4 linked regions of the Notamacropus eugenii genome follow. The protein of the gene in region 1 binds, or shares a complex with, the protein of each later gene. Links are inferred from orthologs where the notes say so. Each region holds a gene or a part of one and is shown in the gene's direction. Other genes may lie near its edges.

Region 1 (7,201 bases):
CATCTCATTTTTCTTTTTCTGTGCAGGTATTCCTTTCTTTGAGAAAATCCAATGTCATATGCTAAAGTCAATTTATGAAACAGAAATGAGGTTGTTTATTCACATTTTAAAAAGAATTCTTTGCTTTATAAAAGGATTCACTGGAGGAGTGCTTTAAAAACCTCCCATCTCATTTAAAATTATTTTAAACAATTTATGGTTCAGAAATCCATTTTATAAAATTACAAACACCTGTATATGCTTATATATCTTGTTATTCTCTCAGTATTATTTTTAATGATGTATTTCATAAAATTTTCTTGGTTGTCTCTAGGAGAAAACAGTAAGTAAAATTTGCCAGTGACCAAAATGAAAGAATAAAGAATTTTGTCTATCAATGTTTGTCGCTCATCAGGTACTGTCTGTTGACTCCACTGCTCAATGGAAAGGGTGCTCACTTTGGTGTCAGCAGCACTGACTGTTACTGTCTATGTTACCATCAGCAGGCTGTTACTGTCTATGAAATCTTGGACAGATCACCTAATGTCTCTAGGCTGAAGTTTTCTTTGTTCTTGTTGTTCAGCTGTTTTTTAGTTGGTCCAACTCTTCATGACCCCATTTGGGGTTTTCTTGGAAGAGACACTGGCGTGTTTGCCATTTCCTTCTCTAGTTCATTTTACAGATGAGGAAACTGAGGCAAGAGGTTAAGAGACTGGCCCATGGTCTCACAGCTAGTAAGTGTCTGAGGCCAGATTTGGACTCAGTAAGATGTCTTCCTGACTCCAGGCCCAGTGCTCTAGCCACTGTGCTTGCTAGCTAGCTAGCTGCCCCTCTGGGCCTCAGTAAAATGAAAGGGTTAAGCTAGATGCAGGACTTCTGAAATTTTTTCCACTCTTGACCCCTTCAGCACTTCTTAAACTCTGGGTCCAGGGCATATGGGGTCACGACCCACAGTTTAAGAAGCTCTGAGGATGTCTAATATGTCTTCCAGTTCTAAAGCTATGATCCAATTATCTCATTGGTCTCAAAACTATGTTAGCAACTGAACTACTAGACTAAGCATTTTTTGTATTGTGCACATTCATCCTTACTCTCTCTGCCATAGGATGAAGACCTACAGGAGATGGAGGAGTTAGCTAAAAAAATGGAAACTCAGTTTGGCCAGTTTTTTGATCAAGTGATTGTGAATGACAGTCTGCAAGAGGCATACGCACAGCTGTTGACTGCTGTGCAACAGGCCCAGGATGAGCCACAATGGATCCCTGCAACCTGGATTTGTTCTGACACCGAACCTTAACGAGGAGGCTTCCTCACCTAGCCCACTTGGGGCTGGAGTCTCACATCAAATTTTAAGGAAGCATTTTTACTAAGAGGATTTGGAGCACTGAGAAAGAGCTAGTGCAAAAAGGAAGATTTGGTTTATAGCTTGCATAACCTAATACCTGCACCATTTTTTTTCAGTGCTGCATCACTACAGCTTGTTCATTTCATTGTTAAGAAGTATACATACCTGTTTTAATTCCACAGATGTGCTGTGTTGCATTATTGAGTTTCAGCAAAATAAAATATGCCCAGAATAGCTAATCTGGAACCAGACGTAGAAGCTCCATTAGTAAATCCAGATCACAGTGATTCATGATAAGCAGGTAACTGATTTCATACAGATCCTTTGTTTGAGGTCCTTTTCTAAGTTAAGGTCAGTGTTCCTTTTCTGTGCCTGACTATACAAGTTTGTCATGGTGTTAGCACATGGATCTTTGACTATGTACATAACTATGATTGATCCATGATCTCAAGGATAAGGGCCCTCATATTATGGAGACCCATCCATTTAAGTCTTCTCCACATCTTCCCACCAATTCTCTACCCACCATGCTAGGGACTTCCTTCTAGTTGTCTTGACATTTTATGGTATGAAATGCATATTCTATCTATCTACTGGTTATCCTTTTGTTTTAGTGGCCCATCTTTTGGTCCATTATGCATATCTCTGATATCCTTTATGTTGTTTCTCCTTTGAAACTCTCCTCACATCCCAGGATCTCTCCATTGTCCTTTGGGTTGTAACCCTCAACTTTAATGCTGACTGTATCAAACCCTGGAATGTAGCAACTTTCCCTAAGTTCAGATCCAGCCTCAGAAACTTACTAGTTGTGGGACCCTGCGCAAGTCACTTAACTTTCATTTGCCTCAGTTTCCTCAACTGTAAAATGGGATTAATAATAGCACCTACCTCCCAGGGTTGTTTTGAGGATCCAATGACATATTTGTAAAGCACTTAGCATAGTAGCTGGCACATAATGGGCATGTATTAACTGATTGTTTTTCTTCTTTCTTTCCTTCCTAAATGAGATCCATGATCACTCAGGACTGTGGGCTAACCATGCAGGGAAAAATAACTTCAAAAAACAAGTGGTTAGAAAAAAATATATTGTTCAGGCTAAGATATGCTGTTGAATGGACAACCCAAAAACAGAGGTGGTCTATTAGGTCAAGTCTTGTATTGACATTGAAAATGAACAATAAATGGGGCCCAAAGCTGAACAAGAAAAAAATGGGCTGCATTACCTGGAGGAAGCTGCACAAAGTTCTTCCTGAAACAAAGGTTTAACAAGCAACAACATTCCTTAGTGATTGTCTTCTTAGTATCTGAATCTAATTTGAGGGTCACACATATTGATCACTTTAATTTCACTTTTTAGTCTGTTTCTCTGGTTGTTAAATCAAAGCTTCAGACCTATTAAAAAGTGCCAGACTTTTCAACTCAAGCCTAGCAATAACATGTGAAATTTCTGATTTTGTGTTTCTATCTCTCAAAAGTTAAAAATGCATAGGTATCCACTCCAAGCATTTTGGGGGAAAGAAGAGGGAAGGGGTCAGGGCAAACAGCCTACCATAGTTATCTCTTTTCTAACCGTTACAGACTTAATCCCTGGATTTGCATATGAACAGGAACTCTCAAATGGATCTCACTCAGTTTAATCACACAGTGAACAAATACCAAGAATCTTCCCCAAGTAAAGTTGTAATTGTGAAAATGAAATTTGGCTTTAAATTTTAGGAGAAAGATAACACACACACACACACACACACACACAGACACACACACACACACACACACACACACACACACACACACACACACCCTCTCTGTTTTACTGCCGACCTTCTACATTTCTACTTATTCCCACCCACTCTACTATCTATAATGTACAAATTAAAAAAAAAAGACACTTTAAAATATTTCAGTCTTAGGTTCCTCATTCTAAGACGCAGTGCGGAAAGAGTATGGATTTGGGAGGATTAGGGATTCAGAAAACCTGGGCTCAGATCCTGCCTGGGACACTTTGTGACTGAGCAAATCACTCAATTACCTACTCTGTAAAATGGAGAGGGTGGTCTAGATGGCCTCTAAGGTTCCTTCTAAATGTAAAATGCTATTTTCATAAGCAACATGGGCATTGGACCGAGGTCCAATCCTAGGAAGACTTGGATTCAGGTTCTGACAAGCTGTGTGACCACGGGCCAGTCACTTCACGCTGCCATACCACTGACTGTATGAGGTCATCTAATCCAATACCTTCATTTCATAGAAGAGAAAAATGAAGGCCAGAGAGGTTGAATGACTTGGCCTACAAGGAGCAGGGCCAAGATTTGAACATCCTCCAACTCCAAAGCCATTGTTACTTTACTTTCATTTAGTCACTCATGGGTAGAAGGGATTTTTACATGGGAGTAGACCACTCCCCTGACCCCCCAAAAGTCCTGAATTTAAAAGCAAACATTAAAATGCCATGTACCTGCTGAAAGACCAAAGGCCACCACTGCACCTAACACCCTGGGGTTCAGCTGTATCCAACTTCTCATGACCCCGGGTTTGCTAGGCAGACACTGGAGTGGTTTGCCTGTGCTTCCCCAGCTGATTTTACAGATGAGGTAACTGAGGCACACAGGGTTAAGTGGCTCAGTCCCACAGCCAGTGAGGTCCCAGTCTGAACTGACGGTGCCATCTAGCTACAGCTCCACACCGTCTTTTGCTAGGCGTCTGTGGCCCTCAGCTGCGTTTCTCACAGACAGACAGGACTGTGAGAGAGGATGAGGCCGGCATCCCTGCTCTTTGGCCACACTCCGCTGGCCCGCAGGCAGGCGCACAGGCACTGACACACTTTCACACACACGCGGGGGCACAGGCACGCCAACACACGTGTACGCAGACCACGCACAAAGACAGCAGGATTCCTACAGACACAGCCACACTCACACGGACACTCCTACACGGACACAAATACGCACACACTCGTCCTCGTGCACACCCACGCGCGCACATTTCCACACGCGCTCCAGCCCTCGGGGCAGACTAGGGCGGGAAGCACCGCCCCGCCGGGAGTCGGCCTGGTCCCCGGCGCCCGCACGCCCTCCCTCTCCCAGCCCACACCTCCGGAGCGGAGCGCGGCGCGGCGCGGGCTCGAGGCGGGGGCTGGGCCTCGGGCCGGGCGGCGGCGGTTGCCCAGGAGGTTGCGCTGGACGCGGCATGAGGCCGGAGCCCGGGCCCCCGCAGGAGGAACCCAGCCCGGTGAGCCGCAGCGGTGGTGTGCTGGGCGGGGCTGGGGGGTCTCCGGGGCGTTATCTGGGGGCACCCCGCCCTCTCGCCTCGTTAGGGGTGCGGGGCCCTAGGTCTCGGGAAAGGGCCGGTGGCGGCCGGCCGGCTTGGGCGTGCGCTGCCATGACGACGCCCCGCCCTCCCAGGGCCACCAGTTGGGGTCCTCCTTTTCCACTTCCGCTTCTGGGCCTCTCTTACTCCGACCGCTTTCGCCGCCCACCCGTCCCGGAGAGCTCGGTCCGCCTGCGGGGAGGCCGTCATTTGCGCCCAGTCTCCCTTGGCTTCCCTCCCTCTCCTCCGGTCACACCCACGCTTCTCTGTCTGTCCCACTAGCTAGACCGGCGGAGCGGGGCCGGGCCTCGGGGGCGGGGCCTAGTGACGCAACGACGCACGGCGCGTCTGGGCCCTCCCCGCCACGTGTTAAGTGGCCAGTGGGCGGGGCTCGGGCTGGAGTCTTGCCCTGCTGCGGGCGCTGCCCGGGGCGGGCTGTGCGGGCATCCCACTGGCGCGCGGTGGCCGGCTCCTTCCGAGGCGGGCCTTAGATGGTATGGGGAAGAAACAGGTGGTAAGCCTCCGTCAGTGACTTGTTTTCCTTTGTTTCGCACGCCGTGACTGGGGAGGGGCGTCGTGCGTGGGTGTGCTGGCTTTGGGTGATGAGAGGGCCAGTCCCTGCCGGCCTTCCCGCTGAGATCCTCGTGATCCATTGGTCCTGGGAGGGAGCCTGGACCCAAAACGATAAATGAGGTCTCTGCGCGTGGCCTGTGTGCTGCTGTCGCTTTTTATACAACCGTTTTTTAATTTGTCTTCTTATTTTTCATTAGCATTGCTGTTAGTATAGTATTGAATATATTAATAAAAGCTTTGTTCAGCTAAGGACAGAGTTTAGGAGGAAAGTCATTAGCACTTATCCTTTTCGATATGCAGTATTGTTCCTGCACTAAACATAAGAGAAAAGAAATTAATGGGCATTTTCTTTATTAGATCTGTGATTTCATTGGTATCAGGAACGTCCCAACAGACAACCACCTCCACCAGTGCAGAAGTGTTAAAACAGTGGTCTGCAAAGCAGGGCGTGCACACACCGGGAGGGTGCATGAGTGCTAAGAAAATGTCAGGAAACAATTGTTCAGTGGCTGCTACGTGCCAAGCCTTTAAGTGCTTACTGTGTTAAGTGCTGGACATATACAGAATGGCAAAAAAGCAATTTAATCTAATGGTAACCACCACCTGACTCAACCCCTTCCATCCTGGCCAGGGCCCAATGTGGGCTGTGCTGAATGGTCAGCCATTTAAGCTCCTCACCATGCAAGAAGGTGCAGGGAGGGGGTGATGGGAATAAATCCTTCTTCCCGAAGTCCTTGCATCCTCCTTGCCTCTACCCCTGTGACCCACTTTTGTAAGTCGAAGGGTACATCTTCCTGGCCTGAGCTTGGCATACTAGTTCCTTGCTGCCTGTCCAGGCTCTTTTCTAAACTCCCTCACCCCAAAAAGAATGAGAGGCTTACACTAGACTGGAGGCATCTGCAGCAAGGAGAAGCCAAGAGGGTCAGGCCCAGCTGAGGTGATGGCATTATAAATGGAAGTGAATATATCAGCATTGACAGCTAGCAAGAGTTGGGAGGCAGCAGGGGTGGCTGCAGTCAGTGGGCTTGGGGATCAAGCAGTCAGACTGCCGAGAACCCTATTATTGCCCCCAACCAACCAGACAGCTTCAAAGTAAATGAAGGCCATTTACAGGTGGGAAACCAAGGCCTCCCCAGGCATCTTGCTGTGTGTCCTGCTTCCTTTTTCTTATCTGGAACAACCACCACCCTCTAGATCTGGGACCTGATCCCCAGAGACCATGTCTCTCACCCCTTGACTTGAGGGAAGAAGACATTTAACAGTCAGATTGCAACAACTTCATCGTCAACAACAAACCTCTGAATAATTGGTAGGTGGAAATGAAAAATGAATTCATGGTTTAGTAAGCACTGTCATACCTATAGGGTCATAACTTAAAGCTGGAAGGGTCCCGAGAGGTCATCTAGTCCACTCCCCCCCTCCATTTCACAGATAAGCACCTTTATAGAAATTAAATGACTTACCTGTGGTCAGAGACAGAGTAAGAGTCAGAGACAGGATTTGAACCTGGCCGGATCTGAACCTGGGTCTTCTTAACCAGCATTCTGTTTACTCTATCATTCTTCCTTTTGGATCTACAGATTTTTGAGATATCTTTCAGCCCTGACTGCCATTAAAATCTAGTGCTGGAAGAAATTGAACTTAGGATCAGACCCTCGAATCACTGTATCACAATGTGGCAAACCAACATTTTCCAAAGAATGTGGGACTTTCTATTATATTACTCTCACTAAATAAAGTAAGATAAAAATAAGTCACAGTTTTATTTAATGAGAGCCAAAGTCTTTTGTATTAATAAAAATATTTTAAAATATACTTTATCCTATTTTTATAATGTATTAAAATATTAGTAGAGTAGCAAATACTTATACATTTACAAATACATTCATGGAGAAGGTATGCCCCTAAATTTTTTGATAGGGATGCATGATCAAAAAAATTTGGAGACCATTGTCTTAGTTGCCTGGGACGCTGAGAGAAGTTAAGTGACTTGCCCAG
Region 2 (7,179 bases), on another chromosome or scaffold:
ATTTGAAGCAGGGAGGCACACATAGAATAAAGGTAAAAGACTGGAGCAGAATCTTTTATGCTTCAGCTTAAGTAAAAAAAAAACAAACCAAGGATAGCAATCACGATCTTCAACAAAATAGCTCTAATTAAAAGAGGCAAGGAAGGAAGCTACATTTTGCTAAAAGGTACAATGAAGTAATATCAGTTCTAAGCATATATGCAACAAATGGTATAGCATCTAAATTTCTGAAGGAGAAGTTAAATGACTTATAGCAAGAAATAGATAGTAAAACTATACTAGTGGGGGACCTCAACTTTCCCCTCTCAGAACTAGATAAATCTAACCACAAAATAAACAAGAAAGAAGTTAAGGAGATGAATGGAACTTTAGAAAGATAGATATGATTGACCTTTGGAGAAAATTGAATGTGGATGGAAATGAATATACCTTTTTCTCAGTAGTACATTGCACTTACAAAAAAATTGACCATGTATTAGGGCACAAAGAAACCCCACAATCAAATGCAGAAAGGCAGAAATATTAAATTAATCCTTTTCAGATCATGATGCAATAAAAAATTACATTTAATAGAAGACCATGGAAAGATAATTAAATAAAAATAAACTAAATCTAATCCTAAAGGATAAATGGATCAAAGAACAAATCATAAATAATTTCATTAAAGAGAATGACAATAATGAGACAACATGCTAAAATTTAAGGGATGCAACCCAAGGCAGTACTTGGGGGAAATTTTATATCTCTAAATGCTTATATCAATAAAATAAAGAGAAGACCAATGAAGTGGGCATGCAATTTTAAAGAGCAAGAAAAAGAACAAATTATAAGTCCCTGATTAAACATCAAATTGGAAATTCTGAAAATCAAAAAAGAGATTAATAAAATTGAAAGTAAAAAAACCCATTGAACTAAAAACCAAGAGCTGGTTTTATGAAAAAACAAACAAACAATAAAATAGATAACCTTTGGTTAATTTAATTTTTAAAAAAAGGAAAGAAGAAAACCAAATTACCAGTATCAAAAAATAAAAAGGGTGAATTCACCACCAACAAAGGGGAAATTAAAACAATAATTAGGAACTATTTTGCCCAACTGTATGCCAATAAATCTGACAACTAAGTGAAGGGGATGAATATTTACAAAAATATAAATTGCCCAGATTAACATAAGTGGAAAGAGAATACTTACATAGCCCCATTTTAGAAAATGAAATTGAATAAGCCATCAATGAACTCCCTAAGACAAAATTCACAGGGCCAGATAGATGTACAAGTGAACGCTACCAAACATTTAAAGAACAATTAATTCTGATACTATATAAACTATTTGGGAAAATTCACAAAGGAGTCTAACCAAATTCCTCTTATGACAAAAATATGTTGCTGATATCTAAGCCAGGAAGAGCCAAAACAGAGAAAAAAAACTATACCAATTTCCCTAATGAATACCAATGTAAAATTTTTTTTAAAGTACTAGCGAGATTACAGATATATATGTGTGTGTGTGTGAGAGAGAGAGAGAGAGAGAGAGAGAGAGAGATATGTATCTTATATATATCTTCAATAGTTTAAAAACCCGCCAAAAATTGGGGTATCTTCCTGTATTAAAACTCCTATTAAGAGAGATGAGGTAGACTAAGGGGGAAGAGAGAGAGAGAGAGAGAGAGAGAGAGAGAGAGAGAGAGAGAGAGAGAGAGAGAGAGAGAGAGAGAGTTAATTACAATAATAGTTCAGGGTTCCAGAGTGAGAGTACAAACTTTTTAGAATGATGCAGCACACCTTCCTGTTCTTGGCTGATTAAATGGGGGCACAGTTGGCACACTTGTCCATATCCCCAATCCCAGAAATATTTCTGGGATCCTGGGGAAATTTTAGCATTATCATTTTAAGTGTCCTCTCTAAGGACTTGCACCAAAGAATCCCAAAAATAACCTTGTGGCAAAATTCTCTGATCTCTTAAATAAAAAAATAATCTGAGTGATTGTTAAACATTAAAAAAATAAAAAAATTAATAAAAAAAAAAATAATCTGTTTCCAGGTATCTGCCTTGGTTTACAGTTTTTCCCTGTGGGGATCTTTTATACCACTCTTCAATGGCTGGCTATGTTCATGTACAATGACAGGTTTACTGCATGGTCTTTTCCAAAAAGCCATTCAAATTAAAAAAAAAATACACAAAAATTACACAAAAATAGCTCTCTGGGGCCCCTCTTAGGCAAGTGAGTGACATGGTCTTTAATAATACAAAGGAACTATGGTTGAACTTTAAGGATTCTACAAATTAGCCCTTTTCTAAAAGAGTTGAACTTTTCTTTCTCTATCCCAAAAAATCCTGTCTCTTCAAGATACTTTGAAAGTAAACTGATCTCGGAAGAGATTACCTAGTAGAACTTAGAAGTGACTTAAATTACCAGTGACTGGAAGACCCAACAAAACTGGAGGACTTAAAATGTAGTTTTCATCCTGGAGTCAGGAAGATCTGAATTCAAATCCAGCCTCAGACACCTGACCTACTAGCTATGTGACCATGGACAAGTCACTTAACCCTGATTGCCTCGAAATACAAAACAAAAACAAAAAATCAAGTTTGCCAAAATTATCTTCAATAATAATGTTTATATAGTGCCTTAAGGTCTGAAAAGTACTTTATTAATATATCTCATTTTTTTCCTGTGCTATCATGATCCCTATTTTACAGATAATGAAAAGAAGACAAACATGTTAAGTGACTTGTCCAAGGTTACATAGCTATTAAATAAGTGTTTTAGGCAAGTCTATCCTAACTCTAGGCTCAGGGCTCTATCACTTGCACCACCTATCTACTTAGGTGGTTCAGAAGACAGTAAACAGGATGCTTATCTTTTTTGACTCTATGACATATGAGGGCTATTGAAAGTACTGGACACATTTAGCCTGGAGATGTAGAAGACTGGGGGTGGGAATGGGGGAATATGATAGCTGTCTTCAAATACTTAAAGGATTTTTATCTGGAGCGGAGATTACACTAGTTTGGTTTGGTCCTAGAGATCAAAACCAAGAGCAATATGTGGAATTTGTAAATAACTAAATTTAGGTTTGCTATCAGGAAAAATGCCCTTTCTTAAGTCTTTTTACATTTCTTTGGCAACAGTATGTCATTTGAGTCATTCATATGCTATCTGTTGCCCTTGTCACATGCTACTTCTTTTCCAATTATGTATATATTCAGTGAATCCCCTTACATCACTTTTAATACACCAATCATCTTTGAAAATATTTGTGCCTTTCTTTTATTGACCTTTCGGTCACAGGCAAGATTTTAGTCTTTAGGGACTGTGAAAATTCAATATTTGCAAACATAAAACGGTCAATCTGTTCTGGAGTAAATTCGTTGTAAAAAAGATCTCGAATAATTCTCTTTTGTACTGCGAATTCATACTGAAAACAATCTTGAGGAGTTGATATCCAAACAGACAATTTTATTTCTAGGCGTCAAACTTTGTGCTGTTACAAATGGTATTGCTACAAACATTTTGCTGAAACCACGTTTTCATGATGTTTTCCCCCTAATTCTGTGAGCTCCAGAGGATGCCTTTCGCCTTATTTTTTTCCATCTCCAGTGCTTAGCACAACCAGTGCTGGCACATACTAGGCGCTTAATAAATGTTTATTGATTGACTCTTCAGAGAGTTGTGCACCCAGTGCTTTAAAGATAGCTAGTGGCACATACGTATGAAGTGTTCCATTTGATTTCGGTCCCTAAATACTTCCTAAGACCAAGTAGGAAATGCACGGGAATTTCATTTCCTTTGGACTGGCTACAGATATTGCCTTGGGCGATCTGACAAAAATATACCTACAATGCTGTTTATCCGAAAAGATAAAAGATTATTCTGTTTACACGCAAGGTTTCAGAAATGTTCTTAGCGCTCTTGGCATAGATCACCGCAGGGAGCAGGGATACAAGGTATCTTTGGCACAAGTAGACCACAGTAACATTTTCTCGCCGGCGCGGAGCCCGTCCCCCTCACGTCGTTACATGATTGGCTGAGAACGACTCTACCCCAGCCGCGGCCTTGCTATTGGCTCACGCACCGAGGTAGGACGGTTACCGTGGAGACCTAGGCTATGGCCACTGAGAGAAGCCAAATCTGGTAAGCGTTGGTGAGTCGTGCAGCCCAGGCCTCCGCCCCGGGCTCCCTAAGCCCAGGCCTGCAGCGAGGAGCGCGGCCTTCGCCATGGCCCTCTACGATCTGTACTCTCACCCTCTGGAGATCATCTACCGCGCAGGGCTGTGCTCCAAGGCCGCCTTGTTTCTGCTGCTGGCCTCCAGCCTCACCTACATCCCCCCGCTGCTCGTGGCCTTCCGGAGTCACGGTGAGCCCGGCCCAGCCCGAAGGGGCCCTGCCCCTTCCCCCCCCCCAGGCCTTCCAGACGCCCCCATGTCGTGCGCCCCCAGCCCCTAGACCCAGGCCGTCCAGACGCCCCCATGTCGTTCCCCGCCCCCCCAGCCCCTAGACCCAGGCCTTCCAGATGGCCCCCCTCACATTGTGTCCCTTAAACTCCCCAGATCCAAGTCATCCAGACACCCCCCTTCAGTGTGCCTCCCAAACCCCACCCAGACCCCGGCCATCCAGAAGCCCCCACCCCAGACCGAGGCAGACGTCTGCCAACACATTGTGGCCCTCCCAACCTCACCTACACTGCCCTCTGTACTTTGCCATCAAGGCAATATTATGGTGTCCCCAGAACCTGGCGTACACCCCTTGGCCTCATTCTCCTAGTGTGTCACATCTCCCCTCATCTTGTGTGTGCTCTCATCTCCCTTTCAGCTTCTTTGGCCCCTAGATCGACTTGTTGGTGTTCAACACGGCCTGGGCACAGAGCTTCATTCTCCATGCCTTGCTTCTGACTTGTATATTCTGTCTAGGTTTTTGGTTGAAGCGCAGCAGTTATGAGGAGCAGCCGACTGTTCGGTACCAACATGAGGTGCTGTTTGTGGCTTTGTTAAGCTCTAATTCTGGAGAGTATCTAGCCTGGAGCACATTCCCCAATTTTAACCAGTTTCAAGGGGATAATCTTCGGCTGCCAGTGGTATGGGTAGGTGGCTCCTATACTCCTAAAGCAGAATTTGCTATTGACAGTTTGTTTTGACATATTGATCATTTCCCAATAAATAACCTCCCATAATACTTCCCTGTAAAAAAACATCAAATAAGCTAAACCATCTTAATATCATGATTGTCATAGACAAAAAAAAAATTGTGATTTTTCCACTCTTGTAGTTTATCATTTCTTAACAGAAAGGAAGAGTATTTCAGCTCTGCCCTCCCCACAGAAGTCCATGGATTTGACCTGAATTCTTTTGCTTTTTAGGGTGGACTTCATTCAATCAGTATATTCAGGTCTATATTGTTCCTTTGGTCTTGCTTTTTTCTCTGTACATGAGATTACACAAGTCTTTCCACCTGTCTTTGAGTTCTTCATATTTATCCTTTGTGATAGTGAGATGGGATTTTATTACAATCATAACAGCAGTTAAAAAGGTCCACAGAAGTCATCCATTTCAATCATCTTATTTCACAGATGAGGAAAGTGGCTTCCAGAAAGGTTCATTATTTACTGACAGTCACACAGTGAAAAAGTGGCATCGCCAGGATCCAAACTCGGGTCTTCTGATTCCAAATTTTGCATTCTCCCCACCGTACCATGCGCTTCTTCTTCCATTCATACGCTGTTCTGTTGAGGCATTTCTAGTCATTGGGGGTGTAGCTTGTTTCTAATTTCTTTCTGTTACAAATTCTTGCTGTAACAACTATGACTATTTTGGTGCAAATGGGGAACGTTATTTCTGTCGTTGACCTCTGTGGATATAAGCCCAGTGGTGGAATTTCTAGCTCAGAGGGTATGAATGGTTTAGTAAATTTTGTCGCATATTCCCAAATTATATTCTAGAATGGTTGGATCAGTTCGTAGCTCCACTATAGCTCTACCAACATTTGCTTTTTCCATCTTTTACCATATTTTTCCCAATTTGATGAGTGGGAAGTGATACATACCTTAGAGTTATTTTAATTTATAGTTTGCAATTGCAAATAAGACAAAAAAAAGAAACTAAAATTATTAACATTAAAAACAAAGAGTTCAAGATATTATTTGCTATTTAGGCTATTTAGAAAATCCAAATGTTCCTACCAAAAATTAATAGTGACAATAAATGAGTTGAGGAAGGTCTTAGAAAACAAGATGAGTTCACTAAAATCATTTGCAGTCTTATTTGCTAGCAATAGAGATCAAAGAACCCCATCTACCATAATAATAAATGGCACCAAATATTTGAAAATCATTCTGCCTAGAAATATGCATGGCCTATATATAGACAACTATAAAATTATAATGACTAAAATAAAGAAAGATCTAAATAATTAAAGGGATAGTGTGCAAAGATGGATAAGTTAATATGATGAAAATGTCAATACAACCAAGCTTAACTTGAATACTTAATACAGTACCAATCAAAATGCCAAGATTTAAGTACAACTGGACAAAATAATATTGAAATACATATAGAAAAATAAAGAAACTGGACTATGTAGAGTCACTATTTAAAATGCTTGTAAATGTAGTCTTGTACTCCCAGACTTGGGATAGCTAGGTAGTGCAGTGGCTAGAATGCCTTAACTAGAGTTAGGAAGACTGGTCTTGAGTTCAAATGTGACTTTAGAAACTTACTAGCTGTGTGACCCTGGACAAGTCACTGAACCTTGTTTACCTCAGTTTCTTATCTATAAAATGAGCTAGAGAAGGAAATAGCAAACTGTTCCAGTATCTCCAAAAATCCCAAATGTGATTATGAAGAGTCAGACATAACTGAAAAATGACTGAATAATGACTTCCAGACTTATTACAAAAGCAGCCATCCAAATTATCTGGCACTGGGTCAAAAGCAGAATGAGGCATATGAAAGAGAAGAATAATCCTAGGCATCTAACTAAATGTAGACAAAAGGCAAACCTTTTATAGAGGATAAAATCCCAGACAAGAATTCATGATTTAATAAAGGAACATGGGAAAATTGACTACTAATTGGACAAGAAATTAATTTAGACCCACATCTCACATCATATACTTTAGTGATTTCCAGCTAAATGATAGACCTCTGTTAGACTGTGAGCTCCAACAAAGCAAAGAGTGATTT
Region 3 (7,470 bases), on another chromosome or scaffold:
ACTTCATGATTTCATATGTAATTCTCTTTTTATGTCATGTGTCTATGGAAATTTGGGGGGGGGGTCTTTTTGTATTTAAGTTCAAAATGAATTAAAAAAACAAAACTTGGTACCGCCTCAAGCACCTGACACTGAATTCTACACAAAGTAAGCATTTAATAAATAGGGTCATTGATTTAGAGATGGAGGGGACCTTAGAGGTCATTGAGTCCAACCCTTCAATTTACAATGAAGTAACTAAGTCCCAGAGGAGTTTAGTGGCTTGTCCAGTGACACAGGCAGTGTCATAGAGAAGATCTGAGCCCAGGACTTTCTGTTTCCAAACACAACATGCACTCTGTTCACAGAGTGAGCACAGCCCCTTATATGTAGCTAGCTGATATTGTAGATAAAATTCCTGACCTGGAATCAGGAAATCCTGACTTCATATCCGACCTTAGATATTACTAACTATGTGAACCCTGGGCAAATCACCATGTCATCTTGACTTTTGTCTTTTTTTTAAAAATTAATTTATTTGTTTCAAGTTTTCTACAATCATTTCCATAAGTCTTAAATTTTCTCCCTCTCCCTCTTCCTTCCCTCCCCAAGACAGCATGCAATCTTATATAGGTTCTACACATACATTCTTATTAACCACATTTTCACATTAGTCATGTTGCATAAAAAGAATTAAAATGAATGGGAGAAACCATGAGAGAAACCAAACCAAACCAAAACATAATACAAGAGAAAATAGTCTGCTTCATTCTGTGTTCCGATTCCATAGTTCTTTCTCTGGATGTGGATGGCATTTTGCCTCAAGAGTCCTTTGGGAATGTTTTAGGTCCTTGCATTGCTGCGAAGGGCTAAGTCTATCAGAAACAGTCCTCGCACACTGTCTGTTACTGTGTACAATGTTCTCCTGGTTCTGCTTATTTCACTCGGCATCAGTTCATATAAATCCTTCCAGGCCTCTCTGAAGTCCTCCTGTTTATCATTTCTCATAGCACAATAGCATTTCATTACATTCATATATCACAACTTGTTCAGCCATTCCCCAACTGATGGACATCCCCTTGATTTCCAGTTCTTGGCCACCACAAAGAGAGCTGCTGTAAATATTTTTGTACATGTGGGACTTTTCCCCAGTCTTATGATCTCTTTGGGATACAGTCCTAGAAGTGATATTGCTGGGTCAAAGGGTATGCACATCTTTGTAGCCCTTTGGGCATTGTTCCAAATTGCTCTCCAGAATGGCTGGATCAGCTCACAGCTCCACCAACGAGTCAGGGTTCCAATTTTCCCACGTTTATCATCTTCCTGTTCTGTCATGTTATCCAATCTTATAGGTGTGATGTGGTACCTCAGAGTTGTTTTGATTTGCATTTGTCTAATCAGTAGTGATTTAGATTAACTTTTGTCTTGCCACGGGACTTCTATGACCCTGGAAGAGAGAACGAGGCTGAGGGCTTTGTGCAACTCTGCTTCACTTCAGTCCAGTTCATACAGAAGTCAAGGCAATACCCATGATGTCATTGTATCCTTTGAAAACAAAGGACAACCAGCAATATAGCTACATAACATAATGTGTGAATTCATGTAGCCATATAAACACCAGCTGTTATTATGATAATATGTATCTGTTTGTTGTTATTCCCTGAATACTTTTAGCTTCATGAAAGTAGGACCTCTATCTTATCTAAAATCTATTCATCCTCTAATGGTGGGTGCCACTGTGTCTAATGCACTGCACCTAGAGGGGGGGGGGGTAAGATCTGAATTCAAATCCTTCCTGAGCCACTTAGGAGCTGTGGGCAATCCCTGTTTGCCTCAGTTTCCTTATCTGTAAAATGGGTATGACAGCAGCACTCCTCTCACAGGGTTGTTGTGAGGACTCAGTGAGTTAACACATGTAAAATGGTCTGCAAAGCTTAAAGGGCAACCTTGATGGTAGCTATCATTATAACAATGAAGATTCACTTTGAGTTTTGTCTCTCCAGCATCTAGCAAGGCAGGGGTTGGCACACTGTCTGCTGCTTGCTTGAGAGAGTTCTGCATACAGCAGGGACTTCACAGATGCTCTGGTTGCTCTCTGTGAGCTGGGGTCTCACTGTCTCCCTTTGCACACAGCAGGGGCTTAATAGATGCTCTGGCATCAGTTGCTGTATCTGCAGGAGGGGGTGTCCCCTTCCTCAGTCAGTCGCCCTCCCTCCCCACGCACAGTGTGCTCTGGGTGCTCACAGCAGGCGCCTAATAAGTGTGGCTGTCAGCCTGGACCGTGCTGGGCTGGGCCTCAGGGCAGGTTGCACCTCCCACTCTGGGGGCCTCGGGACCAGAGTCAGGAGGGACAGAGAAGTGGCTGAGCTCGGGGTGAGCCCAGGAGGATGAGGAGCAGCAGCCTGAGCCCGCAGCTCAGGCCACAGACTGGCCAGGCGGGAGACGCGTGTTGTCTGGGCAACGGCCGCGTGGCATCACGGGAGGAGCAGAGAGGAGGGATGAGGAAGGGGGCACGGGAGGGGAGGGGCTAAACCATCCCCAACAAGGGGCGAGGATTGACGTCAGGGACGTGGGGCCTCGGGTTCAGGCAATGGGGAAGATGACGTCAGGAGGAGTGAGCCGCCTCTGAGAACGCGAGGAGACTTAGTTGGGGGCGCAGAGCGAGGGCGGTCTAGGGAGGGGGCTGGCGGCAGGGGAGCCGAACAGCGTTTACGCTGGGGAGGAGATTGACGTCGGAGGTGCCAAGCAAGTCTAGGGAAGGGGCGGAGATTGACGTCAGCGCAGCCTAGCGAGGTTAGGGGACGGGAAAGGGATGACGTCAGGGGCTCAGAATAAAGACAGGAAGATGACGTCAGGGGTTTAGGAGTGGGAAGCCCCTTGGGGCAGAGCTAAAGGAGCTTGGTCTAATCCATGCTCTGCTTACTCCATGTGTCACTCTACTGCTCTGAGCCTGTTCCCTCAATATCTTGACAAAACCGTATTAGTCTCCACCTTGCTCATATTTTACCCCAAAATCATATTTCTGTTATTTCACTGCAATGCTTCTCCTGCCATTTATGATGATGCTAGCCTGCTTCTCCTAGAGCTGAAAGTGACCTTAAAGATGCAACCTCATTTTGTGCATAAGTAAGGCCGGAGAAGTCATATTCTCTGGGTCACATAGCAGCAGATCGGGGATTCAATCTGAGGGTCCTTCCCAGCAGTCTTTTCTCCAGCAGCAGAACAAGCCCAGGTCTCCTGACTCCAAGACCAGTGCTCTTCCCTCTCTATCCCACTCTCTCCTCCCCTCAATCCTTTTCTCCCTGCTTTCATCCTCCTTCCCTTAACCAAGCTCTCTTGCCTCTCCTGACCATCACCTTCCTTTTCCAAGAGTGCTGTGTCCCCAGGCCTTTGTCCAGCTTCGTAGGATAGCTCTGCTCCTTTGATGTCATCCCCTCCCAGACACTAAACCTTCCTTCCTCTGCACCCCTTACTCATCTTCCTCTAATTCCCTAAGCTGTGCTCTGAACCCTGAATGTCAATGACCTTCATTTCCCTAAATTTACTAACCCCCCTGACACACTCCTCCTCTTATGTTCTGCATCAGTTTCCTCCCCTTCCCTGGGCTCTCTCTGTACCCCTCCCCCCCCACTTATCTTCCAGTTCTCTAGCCCAGTTCTCCACCCCTGATTCCAGTGATTTTCCATTCCCCAGGTGTCCACGACACCATCTGCTTCCATTCCCTAGCTTTACTTTGGTGCCACTGTCTGTACTCTGGACATTAGTCCCCACATCTTCCCTAGGTCACTGCCTGACATCAACCTCTTCAGGTTCCCTAGGCCCACTCTGTGCCTAGGGAGACTGTGCCAGTCTCTCAACCTCTCCCTTAGCCTTGGCACTATCAGACTCTAAGAGTTCCATAGACTTGTTCTGTGCCTATGATGTCATGCTCTTCCTTTCCTTAACTTTCCTTGGAGTCCCTGTTGTCATCCCTTTCCAATTCCCTGGACTTACTTTATGTCCCTGACATTATTCCCCCTCTGCTTCCCTAGGTCTGCTCTTTGACATCAGTCTCTACCAGTTCCCTGCCTTTAGTCTGCACTGCTGATGTCATCAGCATCACTGGGGTCTTCTCTACTTCCCCAATCTGGTTCTGAACTGCTGATGTCAGTCTCCTCTATCCCTCAGCAGGCTCTGAGAACCCAGATGTCATCCCCATTCAGTTCCCTAGACTTTACTCTGCACCCCTGATGTTAACTCCTTTCAGCTCCTTACACATGCTGTCTGCTGCTCCTGACATTAATCTCCAGGGGTAAAATTTCAGCCTGTGCTGGGGTGGGGGACTCTAAAGCCTTGATGTCTTCTATTTTTTATTCTGAGCCGCCCTTGTCAGGCCTTCCAGTTCCCTAGATTTGCTCTGTGCCCTTAACATTAAACTACCTCTCGTTCCGCGTGCTGGGGATACGGGGGAGGGGGGAAGGAGGACAGGGGAGTGTGTGTGTGTGTGTGTGCGTGTGTGTGCGCTTACTCGGTCCTAACATCGATCTTCCTCTCTTTCTCCGGGGCAGGAGGATGGTGGTGAGGGGGGAGGGAGGAGAGGGCTCTGAGCCCCCGACGCCATCCCCTTCCAGTTCCCTAGACGTGCTCTGTGCCCTTTATTCTCTCCCCTTTCCCGGGATAGGTGTGTGTGTTTGGGGGAGGTGGTGGCGGGGTCATGGGGGTGGGGGAGGTTCTAAGCCCCTGACGTCACATTTCAGTCTCTATTCTGAGCACCTGACGTTATGCCTTCCAATTCCCTAGATTTTCTCTGTCTCCCTAACATTAATCTTTCTGTCCCCAGGCTGGGGTACGGTGGGGGGAGGGTACGGAGGGCTCTGAGCCCCTGACGTCATCCCCTTCCACTCCCCTCTCCTCGCTAGGCTGCGCTGACGTCAATCTCCGCCCCTTTTTAAACGTTGTTCGGCTCCCCCGCCGCCATCCCCCTGCCTAGACTCCCCTCGCTCTGCGCCCGGGACTGCGGCAACCTCGCGTCCTCAGAGGTGCCTCCCTTCTCCTGACATCATCCTCCCCCTCCCCAGGCCGGAACCCAGGCTTAGCCCCGCCCCGCCATTGCCACTCTTCCCAGCCTGCCCCGGCCTCTCCCTTTCTCCTGCCCGCCTCCCGTGATGCCCCGCGCTCGGCTGCTGCTGTTGCCCAGACAACGCACGTTTCCGGCGTGGCGGTGGCTCAGTGGCCTGAGATGGGGGGGTGGTGCCTCCTGTTGCTGCTGCTCGTCGTCCTGGGCCTGGGGGCAGCGCAGGTTCCAGACTCCGAACCCCCACCTTGGGCCCCCGCAGAGACTCCTCAGGGCCCCGATGCTGGGCCCATCCCGGACCCCGACCCCGGCCCCACCCCGGGCTCCAGGGACAACAGGCCCGAGACCGGGGTCCGCGAGGCCGCCGGGGCCACTTCTCAGTCGCCCCTGGCCCCAGCGGAGGACATGCGGCTTGCTCTGAGGCCCAGCCCGGTCACGAATGGTGGGTACTGAGGAGGCAGGGGAGGACACAGACCTGGAGGCCTGCAGCAACATTTGCTAAGTGCCTGCTGTGTGAACAGAGTGCACTCTGTGTGGGGGAGGGGGGGAGACTGGTGCGGAGGAGGGGGTGAGGTCCCAGCGGGCAGCTGATGCCAGAGCATCTCTTAAGCCCCAACCTCGTGTAGAGGAAGTACCGGGTCTGTGGAAAGAAAAGGTGACACCCTAGCTCATAGATACAGCAGCCGGAGCATCTGTTAAGTCCCTGCTGTATGCAGAGCTCTCCCAATCAAGCGACAAACTGTGTGCCAGACCCTGCCTGTTGTTGCGTTTGTCCTTCGTTCTGGAAGAGGTCCATGACATCAAGATGACGACGTGACTTGCAGTTGACTCTGATCTGAGTGAGTGAGGGCTGTGCAAGATCACCAGCCTCACCTTCTCCTCCAGTGGCTTGATATTCATCAGGATGACAGGAGATGGCTGGAGAAACAAAAAGCAAAGTGAATTTTAGGAGTGCATCTTACTTGTAATAACATTGATGTTTCGCTTTAAAGTTTGCAGACCATTTTATATGTGTTAACTCATATAGTCTTCATACCAGCCCTGTGAGAGAAGTGCTGCGTTATACCCCTTTTACAGATAAGGAAACTGAAGCAAACAGGGATTAAATGACTTGTCCATAACTACTAAGTGTCTGAGGAAGGATTTAAATTCAGGTCTTCCTGATTCTAGGTCCCAGTGCATTATACACTGTGGCACCCATCATTAGAGGACATATGTATTTTAGGTGAAATACAAGTTCTGCCTTCATGAAGTGAGAAGTATATTAAGAAATAACAAGGAACAGATAGGATAATATCATAATAGCTGGCCCTTAAATGTTTGCATTGTATTGTGTTCGTCCTTCATTGCCGAAGAAGACAGGACAGGATAGGCCAGGACAGGACAGGAAAGGAAAGGAGCCAGTAGAACCCAAGTCATCTGGGCATCTAGCTGAGATTCTATCTGGCCCACTGGTGAATACAAGCATTACAAATGCTTAGGCTCCTTAAGAGTCAACCCAATATGGCAAATGCATTGTATACAATTGTAAACAACAGCTCTATTGTTTGTCCTTCATTTACCAAAAGGACCAGTGACATCTTGACTCATGTGAACTGCATTTCAGTGAGTTAGCTTCAGTCTTTCCAAGTCATCCAAGTCCAGTAGCAAGACAAAAGTCATGACAACTGGCAATGGCCCTAAATGTGGTGGATGACCTTGGTGTCATTTTGTCTAAGCTCTAAATTGTTCTTATCTACCTTTTCTGCTGGGGAAAGCCTTCACATACTTGAGGTAGATGTCTCCATAACTCACTGATGGGTTTTGAGGCCTATCAGTTATCCTTAGCCTGGTTTAGCCTGTCTGCTGGATGGTTTACTCCATCATGGCAAGCTCTCACGCCAGAGGTGCTAGTCCTCCATGAACACCCCATACACCTCAGATAGCTGTATAGTGTATATTGAAGTTTGCAAAGCACTTTGATTATGTGGTATATGTTATACGTGTTATCTTGCTTGATCCTCACCACAATCTTGTGCTATTATAATCTGGAAACTGAGGCAAACAGAGGTTATGTCGTGACTTGCCCAGGTTTCATAGAGCTGGTGTCTTAGGTTAGATTTGAACTCAGGTCTTCCTTGACTGCAGGTCAGAAATTGTATCTACAGTGTCAGCTAGCTACATATAAGGGGCTTAATATGGTGAACAGAGTGCATGCTGTGTTTGGAGACAGCAGGGCCTGGGCTTGACTGTTCTCTTAGACACTGCCTGTGTCACTGAACAAGCCACTGAACCCCTCTGGGACTTAGTTACTTCTTTTGAAAAATGAAAAAGTTGGACTCAGTGACCCCTAAGGTGCCTTTCATCTCTAAATCAGTGATCCTACTTATTGAATGCTTACTTTATGCAGAATTCTGTGTCAAGTACAGGAGAGGTAAGGAAATTTAGATCTCAAAACT
Region 4 (7,763 bases), on another chromosome or scaffold:
ATAGTACAGGCTGGGGCCTCCCAAAATGACTAAGATCTTAAAGAGGAAAAAACTAGCAAATGAAAATAGATTGTTAAAAGCTAAAGTAAAATTTTAAAGAAAAACAAAAACAAAACAATAAGTTCTGGCACCCCCTTGTGGGGTTGCTTTTCAACATTCTCAAATAAAACCTATTTGAATCTATTATTGAGTAAATTATCAAAATTGATGCAAAACATTTGAAGAGCAGTATGTAGGTGTTAGATAGCCTGCCTTAAAACTGGAAAGCACAGATTTGCTGTGCCTTTCAGTACCTTGGGCAACTCTCTCATACCATAATTTCAAAGAAGGTGCATTGGTTGAAGTAGTTTCCTCCTCTGGTAATTTCTAATATTAAAGAATCAAGGCTCCAGGAGCTACCCCTTATTATATATTGACAGTTAGATGCTATGTGCAATATAAGGAAAACTAAGACATTCATCCATATCCTCCAGGAACCAACATTTTTCTGTTGGGGTTGAGATAGACTCAATGATTAAAACTTTTTGAAATCATCCCCAGTTCCAGTTCCAGACCTGTAGCCAAAGAGGATGATTTCTATCACTAGTCAGTAAATCAAAACTCATTACAAAATGTCTATAAATGTTCCAAAGTCTCTCCAAATTCTTTCCGTTACACAACATCATGACCTTCTGTAATGGAAGCTGCTTATCCTCTTCTACATAGAAAATTGCATCAGTTACACTCTGTCAATCCCTGGATATACCCCTTCTGCATTTGAGTCCATTACCTCTGTCAGGAAGTGAGCTTACTTTGGTACTCTCAAATTGTGTAAGATCATTGAATTAAGAACACCAAGTCTTTTGAATTTTTTTTCTTCATATTGTTACCACAGAATTTATCTTGGTTATGCTCATTTCAGTCTGCTTTAGTGCATATAGTATCTTTCCTTTTGTAATTTCTTATGGTTCTATGTATCCCATTAAATTCATATAACATAATTTGTTCAGCCAATCTCCAAGGGATTTGGCATCTTTTTAGTTACAGTATTGTTGCTAAAACTAAAAGAATTACTACAAAATACTTCTCTGTGTGTGGATCTTTTCCCTCTTTCTTTGATCTCCTTGGGGGTATCACTTTGGGATCTAAAAGCAGAATCAAATAGTGAGTCAAATAGCATGCACAATTAGTTTAGTGACTTTTGGAATATAGTTACAATCACTTTGTGGAATGCTGGACAGATCTGTAGTTTTACCAACTATGCATTAGTATGCTTGTCTTTCTCAGAGTCTCCCTATCATCATCATTTTGCTTTCCTTCCCCCCATTTTTACCAATCTCTTGAATGTGAGGTGGGAAATCAGAGTTGTTTTAATTTGCATTTCTCTGATTATTAGTGATTTAGAGTGTTTTTTTATAATGGCTGTGATTTATAAATTTTTTTTCTTTAGGAAGCTAATTTATAGCTCATTCAATTTATTTTTTCGAATCAGGATTATCTAAATCCTCTATTTCTTCTTCTATAAATCTAGATATTTTATAAATTTGTAGATAGTAATCTATTTCATTTTAATTATCAAGTTTTATTGGCATAAAATTAGAGGTAACCAGTGGTTCAATCTTATTTGCATAAGAGCTCTCCTCATTGATGGAGAATTACTTTGTGTCTTATAGAGGGGCATCACTGTTGAGCACTTGCTTGAAGAGAGGTACTTGTAGTGGCTTCCAGTTTTGACAGAGGAGATACATGGTAATAGAATTTTCTTCAGAAAAATGTCTCTGAAGGGAGGGAAAGAATCTGGGGAAAAGCTGACATAAAAGATCTGGCACCTTAACAGTATTTCTTTATTGATATTAATTTTTTCTGCCTTACTTTCTGAACTCAGCCCTAACTTCTGAATGTGCCAGGTCAGCTGTGAAGAAATAATGGTGCTTTGTTTGGCCCAGATCAGTATCACCTAGGGTCTTTCTAATGCTTCCTCCAAATACTGAGCTGCATGTTCTTCAAGGACCTTGGGTGGCTCAGGCTAGTAAATTGCTGACTTTCAGAGCTTTTTCTTCAGGCTCTGGCCAGGTCTAACTATTGCCTTCTAGATCTGAGCTTTGCAGACTCCTGACCCAGTTCTGGGATCACACCTACACACCTATAGAATCCAAGTGTTTGTAACTCTCCCCTAGGGGTATATATCTGCAGGCTAAATTTTTCCCTAGCTCTCCCCTCCTCAACTGATGACATGTTTCTGTGGACTTCATTCATGAACCTGGAATTTTTGACTGGACCCCATGCATAGTTTCCAGCCTACACAATCAAAGTCTCTAGGTTTTCCCCAGTTCAGCCTTGATCTACATGCTGGAAGCTTTCTTGTGCTATGCTACATAGTTGTTTATTCCCCCCTGACTGGACTTTACTAGTAACCATAATCTGGTTCTATCTTTTCATTATGCCCCTCCCTGTCCCCACTTTAGCATTCTCTTCAGACTTACCAGGCAATTAGTCAACAAACAAATAATTTAAGTGCCTAGTATTTCTAGGAACTGTGCTACAAGCTGTACATAAGTACAAAAGATAAAGCATTTCCTGGTTGCAATGATCTTACATTCTAATGAAGAGACAAAAAGTACATATAAAATAAATACACAGTATAAAGATTAAATAAATACAAATACAATAAGATACAATACAAAGTAATTAAATACAAGGTAGTTTGGGAGGAAAAGCACTAGGAGTTGAGACCAGGAAAGTATTTATATAGAAGATAGTACCTGAGCTGCATCTTAAATGGGTGTTGGTTAGGAGGGAATCACTGGAGAAAGAAATGGCAAACCACTCCAGAATCATTGCCAAGAAGACCTCTTGAACAGTATTAGCTTGCTATGGTCCATGTGGTCATGAAGAGTCAGGCATGAGTGAGTAAACAAGCAAGGACAGAATGCATTCTAGGAAGATGGGAGATGGGAGTGGGGAGCAAAGAGAAAGCCAGTTTGATTGTGTCGCAGTTATGGTAGGGGAAGTAATGTCCATTGAGGCTGCAAAGAGGTTGAGGCCCAGTTATATGGAGTGAGAAAAGCTAAATAAAAGGTCATCTTAGAGGCAATAGGAAGTCATTGGAACTGGCTGAGCAGGGGAATCATATGGTGAAATCTGTGCTTAAAGAACAATATTTTAGCATCAGTTAGGAGGCTGTTGGAATCATTTAGGTGAGATGAGAGCTTGGAGAAAGTTGGCAACTGTGTGAGTGGAGAGAAGGGCTTGAATGTCAGAGGTGTTAAGGTAGAAAGAACAAAATTTGGCACCTTATTACATGTGGTATGAGCCAGGGTGAGATAATGCTAAGATTATGAACCTAACACATTGGAAGAATTATGGTGCCTTCAACAGTAATTGGTAAGTTTGGAAGAGGGGAGGGTTTAGGGAAAGGGTTCTTTACCTTTTTTGTTTCAGTTCTCTTTAGAAGTTTAGTGAAGCTTATATACCCCTTCACTTTTTACTTGCCTAGCTGCTTCTTCTCAGTCTCTTTTACTTTTTTTTTCATTCTGGTCATGTGTACTAACTCTTGTGTATCCCCCAAGTTTTTGTTATTATCTTTCCCTCTCCAAACTTTCCCCTTCCTGATCTTTCCTATTACTATAAATCTTCCTGTTCACCTAGGCTCTCAACTTAGGTATCACCTTCAACTCCTGTCTTTTTTTGTACCCCATTGTATGGCATAGTGCCAGGAACACAGCAAGTGCTTAATACATGCTTGTTGACTTCTCACAACATTTTTTTGAAAGGATAAAATACATAGGATTACAAAGAAAACTAATTATATTGAAATAATTAACAAAAAAATGAATAATTCCTGGTTTGGAGGGGAAAATGAATTCAGTTTTAGACCTATAGAGTTTAAGAATTTTTCAGGATGTCCACTTTGAAATATTCGCTAGACAATTTAATGATGCAGGATTGAAGCACAGGGGAGACTGAGGCTAAATATGCACATTTAGGAGTCATCAGCATAGAGGTCATAGTGAAATCCACAGCAGGTGATGAGGTTATCGATAGAGTATGTTGGTTCAATGGTTGTTCCACATATTCAATATTCCCTTTTTTGCCTTTGAACTGTGAATACACAACAACTTCACCTAGGTCTCTTAGAAATCTTAATTTTCTCCAGCTTAGTTTTAGTGCTGCCTCATAGGAGAGGCCCTTCTAGATTCCCTGTTGGCCAGTTATTATTCTCCCACCAAAAAATTATGTCCTATATATTTTATATTGATTTATAGAGCTACGTTTTATTTTACCCTATTGTAAGAAAGCTCCTTGAGGGCAGCCCCTTACATGTACTAAGTCCTTAAAAAAATACTTGAAGAAGTGAATGATCTTTCCAAATCAATTAATAACAGCTGAAAAGGACACGGGGCTAAGCCTGATGAAAGGAAGAACTTTCTAAGGTTAAAGCAGGGATATTTTACTCGTCTATTTTGATAACTTTCCTACATTCTAATGTATGCCTTTTATTTTATGCATTCAAAACCAGGACTCTGAGAAGAGTTTCATCTGACTGCCCTACGGGTCAAGGACTGATAAAAGGGTAGTATTAGAGATGAATTTGGGCAGTCCCTAAATATTCTGAGTAGGCTCCGCCCCTCTTCCACTTAAGGGGAGGGGCACGCAGGCCGGCAGACCAATCCGGGCTCTCTGAGGCGCCCCAGCCAGCGCCGTTGCTATTGGCTGGAGCTCTGGAGGAAACAGGAGGGGAGGGCCCCCTCCTACCTCTTCGGTTGCTATCGGCAACGGAGCGCCGCGGTAACTGACGTAAACGCCTCGCTCCGCTCAGCTCTAGACTCCGGTCCTCCTCCCTCTCCCTCCCCGTCCCACCTCTAATCCCTTTCGTCTCCACCCCCTTCCCAGCCCTAGCCGCCGGTTTCAGCAGGGAGCCGGTGGCCTTCTCCTTCCCGCCGGGCAGAGCTAGGCGCTAGCGCTTCTCCCTTCCGTTGGTTAGGTCGGTCAGCCGGCGTCGATTTAGGGAAAAGGACGGAGGCCAGCCGCTTCCCCGGGCTGCGCGTCCCCTCCTGGTGAGTCGGCTGCTCTCCGGGCTGTCAGCCGCTGACTTTTCCGGCCTGCGGCGACCATGGCTAACTTGGGTTTGTCCGGGCCGCTCCTGCGTGGGTGTGCGCGTGCGCGCTTGCGTACTTGAGTGTGTACCTTAGCCTCGCGCTGGCGGTACGTGGCTGCTGCTGCCGACGTGCCCCTCGCCTGCCCACCCCCACCGCCCGCGCTGCGCGTCCCCGGGGGTGCGTGCGCCTTTGCCCAGGCCCGTGGTGGCTACCACCGCGCTGCTGCACGTGTCTGTGCCCACGCGAGGCGCCAGGGGGCGAGAATTGACTTCGAGAACTCACGGTTGATTAGTATTTCGGACTCTTGACCACCAGAATCTCACGGGTTTTCTGATTCCGGAGGGAGGGATCCCAGAGCCCACCTAAATTATCCAGCCTGTACTAGCAGAACATTTCCAGATATTGGCAACATTTCGTCGTGGTGTTGGCTTCGGGGGTGGGGGGGAGGGGGGAGTATTTTGTCGCACACGTTTTGTTTTTCTTTCCCTTTTTTGCATATTTTGTTACACGAGTTTTTTCCTTTTTGTGTGTGCACACTTTGTTACACAGGTTTGGTTTGGTTTTGCTTTTGATGGAGTTAGAAATCCAAGACAAATAAAGTAAAAAAATATGCTGCAGTCTGCTTTTGGAGATCATCTGTACTCTGGCATTTTGTCGTGAATCATTGTATTGATCTGAGCAACTAAGTAATTCATAGTTGCTCATTGTTACAATATAACTGTTCCTGGATACAATGTTCTGACTTCACTTTGCTTGAAGATCTGAATTCACATGTGACCTCAGACACTTACTAGCTGTGTGATCCTGGGCAAGTCACTTAACCTCTATTTACTTCAGTTCTTTATCTATCAAATGAGGTAACACTGGAGAACACCCCATAGATAAAAGTCCATGGGGTCACTTAGAGTCAGACATGATTGAATGGCTGAACTACAACAACAGTGGTGTTGCTGGTATGCAGTTTTATACCCCTTTGAGTGTAGTTCCAAATTGTTCTGCAAAAAGGCTGAACCAGTTAACAACTCCACCAGCAGTGCATTAGTGTCTCAATTTATCCATATCCCCTTCTGCATTTGTTATTTTCCTTTTATGTTATCTTATACATACAGCCTGATAGCTGAGAGGTTGTGCTTCAGAGTTGTTTTAATTTGCATTTCTGGTGATTTAGAACATTTTTTATGTGACTGTTTATAGCTTTGATTTCTTCTTCTGAAAACTACCTGTTCATATCCTTTGACCATTTATCAACTGGGGAATGGCTCTTATTTTTGTAAGTTTGGTTCAGTTCTCTATATATTTGAGAAATGAGGTTTATATCAGAGAAATTTTGTTGTAAAATCTGCACACACACACACAGAGTTTTCTTTTTTCCTTCTAATTTTGGCTGCATTAGTTTTGTTTGTACAAAAGTTTTTAATTTAATGTAATCAAATTACTCAGTTTATTTCCTGTGATCCTCTGTATGTGTTGTTTGGTCATGAAGTCTTCCTTTAGCCATATATCTGATAGGTACGTTTTTTTCATGCTCTCTGATTTACTTATATTACCCTTTATGTCTAAATCATTTATCTATTTTTGACTTTATCTTGGTAGATGTTGTGTGATGTTGGCCTATGCCTTATTTCCTCCAAGCTGCTTTCCAGTTTTCCTAGCAATTTTTGTCAAATATTGAGTTCTTACTTCAAAAGCCTGGATCTTTGCCTTTATTAAACGCTAGTTTGCCATGGTCTATTCCACTGACCTACCATTCTATTCCTTAGCCAGTACCAGATTGTTTTGATAATTACTGCTTTGTAATATAGTTTGAAATGTGGAACTGCTAGGTTGCCTTTCTTCACATTTTTTTTCATTCATTCCCTTGACATTCTTGACTTGTTCTTCCATGTGGATTATGTTATTATTTTTTCTAATTTTATCAAATAATTTTTTTTGATAATTTGATTGCTATGGCACCGAATAAATTACTTGTGATAGAATCATTATTTTTATTATATTGGCTCTACCTGTCCATGAGCAGTTAATATTTCTCCCACCATTAAGATCTTCCTTTATTTGTGTGAAGTGTTTTGTAATTTTGTTCATATAGTCCCTGGGTTTATCCCGGCAGGTAGCCTCCCACATATTTTATTTTGTCTGCAGTTATTTTAGAAAAGACATATGCAGACAGATAGGAAGTACCAGAATAGACCAATATGTAGAGAGAAAAGAGTACCCAGGAGAAGAGGGTGATTAACTGTTAAAAGTTATAGAGAAGTCAAGCATGGTCAGCTGAAGCAAATAGATTATGCTCCAGCCCCTTATTTTATCTGTGTGTGCGTGTGTATGTGTATTTCCCTGTTTCAAGCAACATATAAGTAACATATTATTGTATTCTGGTTTCTAATCCTTCTGCTATCTGCTTCCATTTTATAAATGAGTTCATTCCATTCATATTCACAGTTATAATTACTGTGTATTTCCCTTCATCCTATTTTCTGTTTATTCTTCTCTTTACCCTATCCGTCCTCTAAAGTCTGTTTTGCTTCTGATAACTGCCTTCTTTCATCTGCCTACCCTTTTGTCATCCCCCTACCCCTTCCCATAGTCTTTTTTTCTCCTACTTTCCTGTTGAGTAAGATAAACTTATATTACCACTTGAGTATCTCTTCCACATTGTGACTTTCCCCATTGTGGTTTTTGATATAT

Evidence for each region.
Region 2: TMEM237 (region 1) and TMEM231 share a complex: the UniProt entries of both Homo sapiens proteins name them as parts of the tectonic-like complex. The link is inferred for Notamacropus eugenii from reciprocal best matches to the Homo sapiens genes TMEM237 and TMEM231.
Region 3: TMEM237 (region 1) and TCTN1 share a complex: the UniProt entries of both Homo sapiens proteins name them as parts of the tectonic-like complex. The link is inferred for Notamacropus eugenii from reciprocal best matches to the Homo sapiens genes TMEM237 and TCTN1.
Region 4: TMEM237 (region 1) and AHI1 share a complex: the UniProt entries of both Homo sapiens proteins name them as parts of the tectonic-like complex. The link is inferred for Notamacropus eugenii from reciprocal best matches to the Homo sapiens genes TMEM237 and AHI1.

What each region holds. Positions count from the first base shown.
Region 1 is NC_092877.1:297,804,461-297,811,661, reverse strand, and holds the start of TMEM237 (transmembrane protein 237), read left to right. Parts: upstream 1-4,170; 5' UTR 4,171-4,510; coding exon 4,511-4,552; intron 4,553-4,983; exon of another isoform or gene 4,984-5,121; coding exon of another isoform or gene 5,122-5,158; intron 5,159-7,201. Other genes in the region: MPP4 (MAGUK p55 subfamily member 4), read left to right, coding at 1,085-1,276. UniProt on the Homo sapiens protein: Component of the transition zone in primary cilia. Required for ciliogenesis.
Region 2 is NC_092872.1:712,648,891-712,656,069, forward strand, and holds the start of TMEM231 (transmembrane protein 231), read left to right. Parts: upstream 1-4,053; 5' UTR 4,054-4,219; coding exon 4,220-4,358; intron 4,359-4,911; coding exon 4,912-5,081; intron 5,082-7,179. UniProt on the Homo sapiens protein: Transmembrane component of the tectonic-like complex, a complex localized at the transition zone of primary cilia and acting as a barrier that prevents diffusion of transmembrane proteins between the cilia and plasma membranes.
Region 3 is NC_092875.1:35,714,333-35,721,802, reverse strand, and holds the start of TCTN1 (tectonic-1), read left to right. Parts: upstream 1-4,430; 5' UTR 4,431-5,197; coding exon 5,198-5,474; intron 5,475-7,470. UniProt on the Homo sapiens protein: Component of the tectonic-like complex, a complex localized at the transition zone of primary cilia and acting as a barrier that prevents diffusion of transmembrane proteins between the cilia and plasma membranes.
Region 4 is NC_092873.1:221,568,018-221,575,780, reverse strand, and holds the start of AHI1 (jouberin), read left to right. Parts: upstream 1-4,684; 5' UTR 4,685-5,036; intron 5,037-7,763. UniProt on the Homo sapiens protein: Involved in vesicle trafficking and required for ciliogenesis, formation of primary non-motile cilium, and recruitment of RAB8A to the basal body of primary cilium.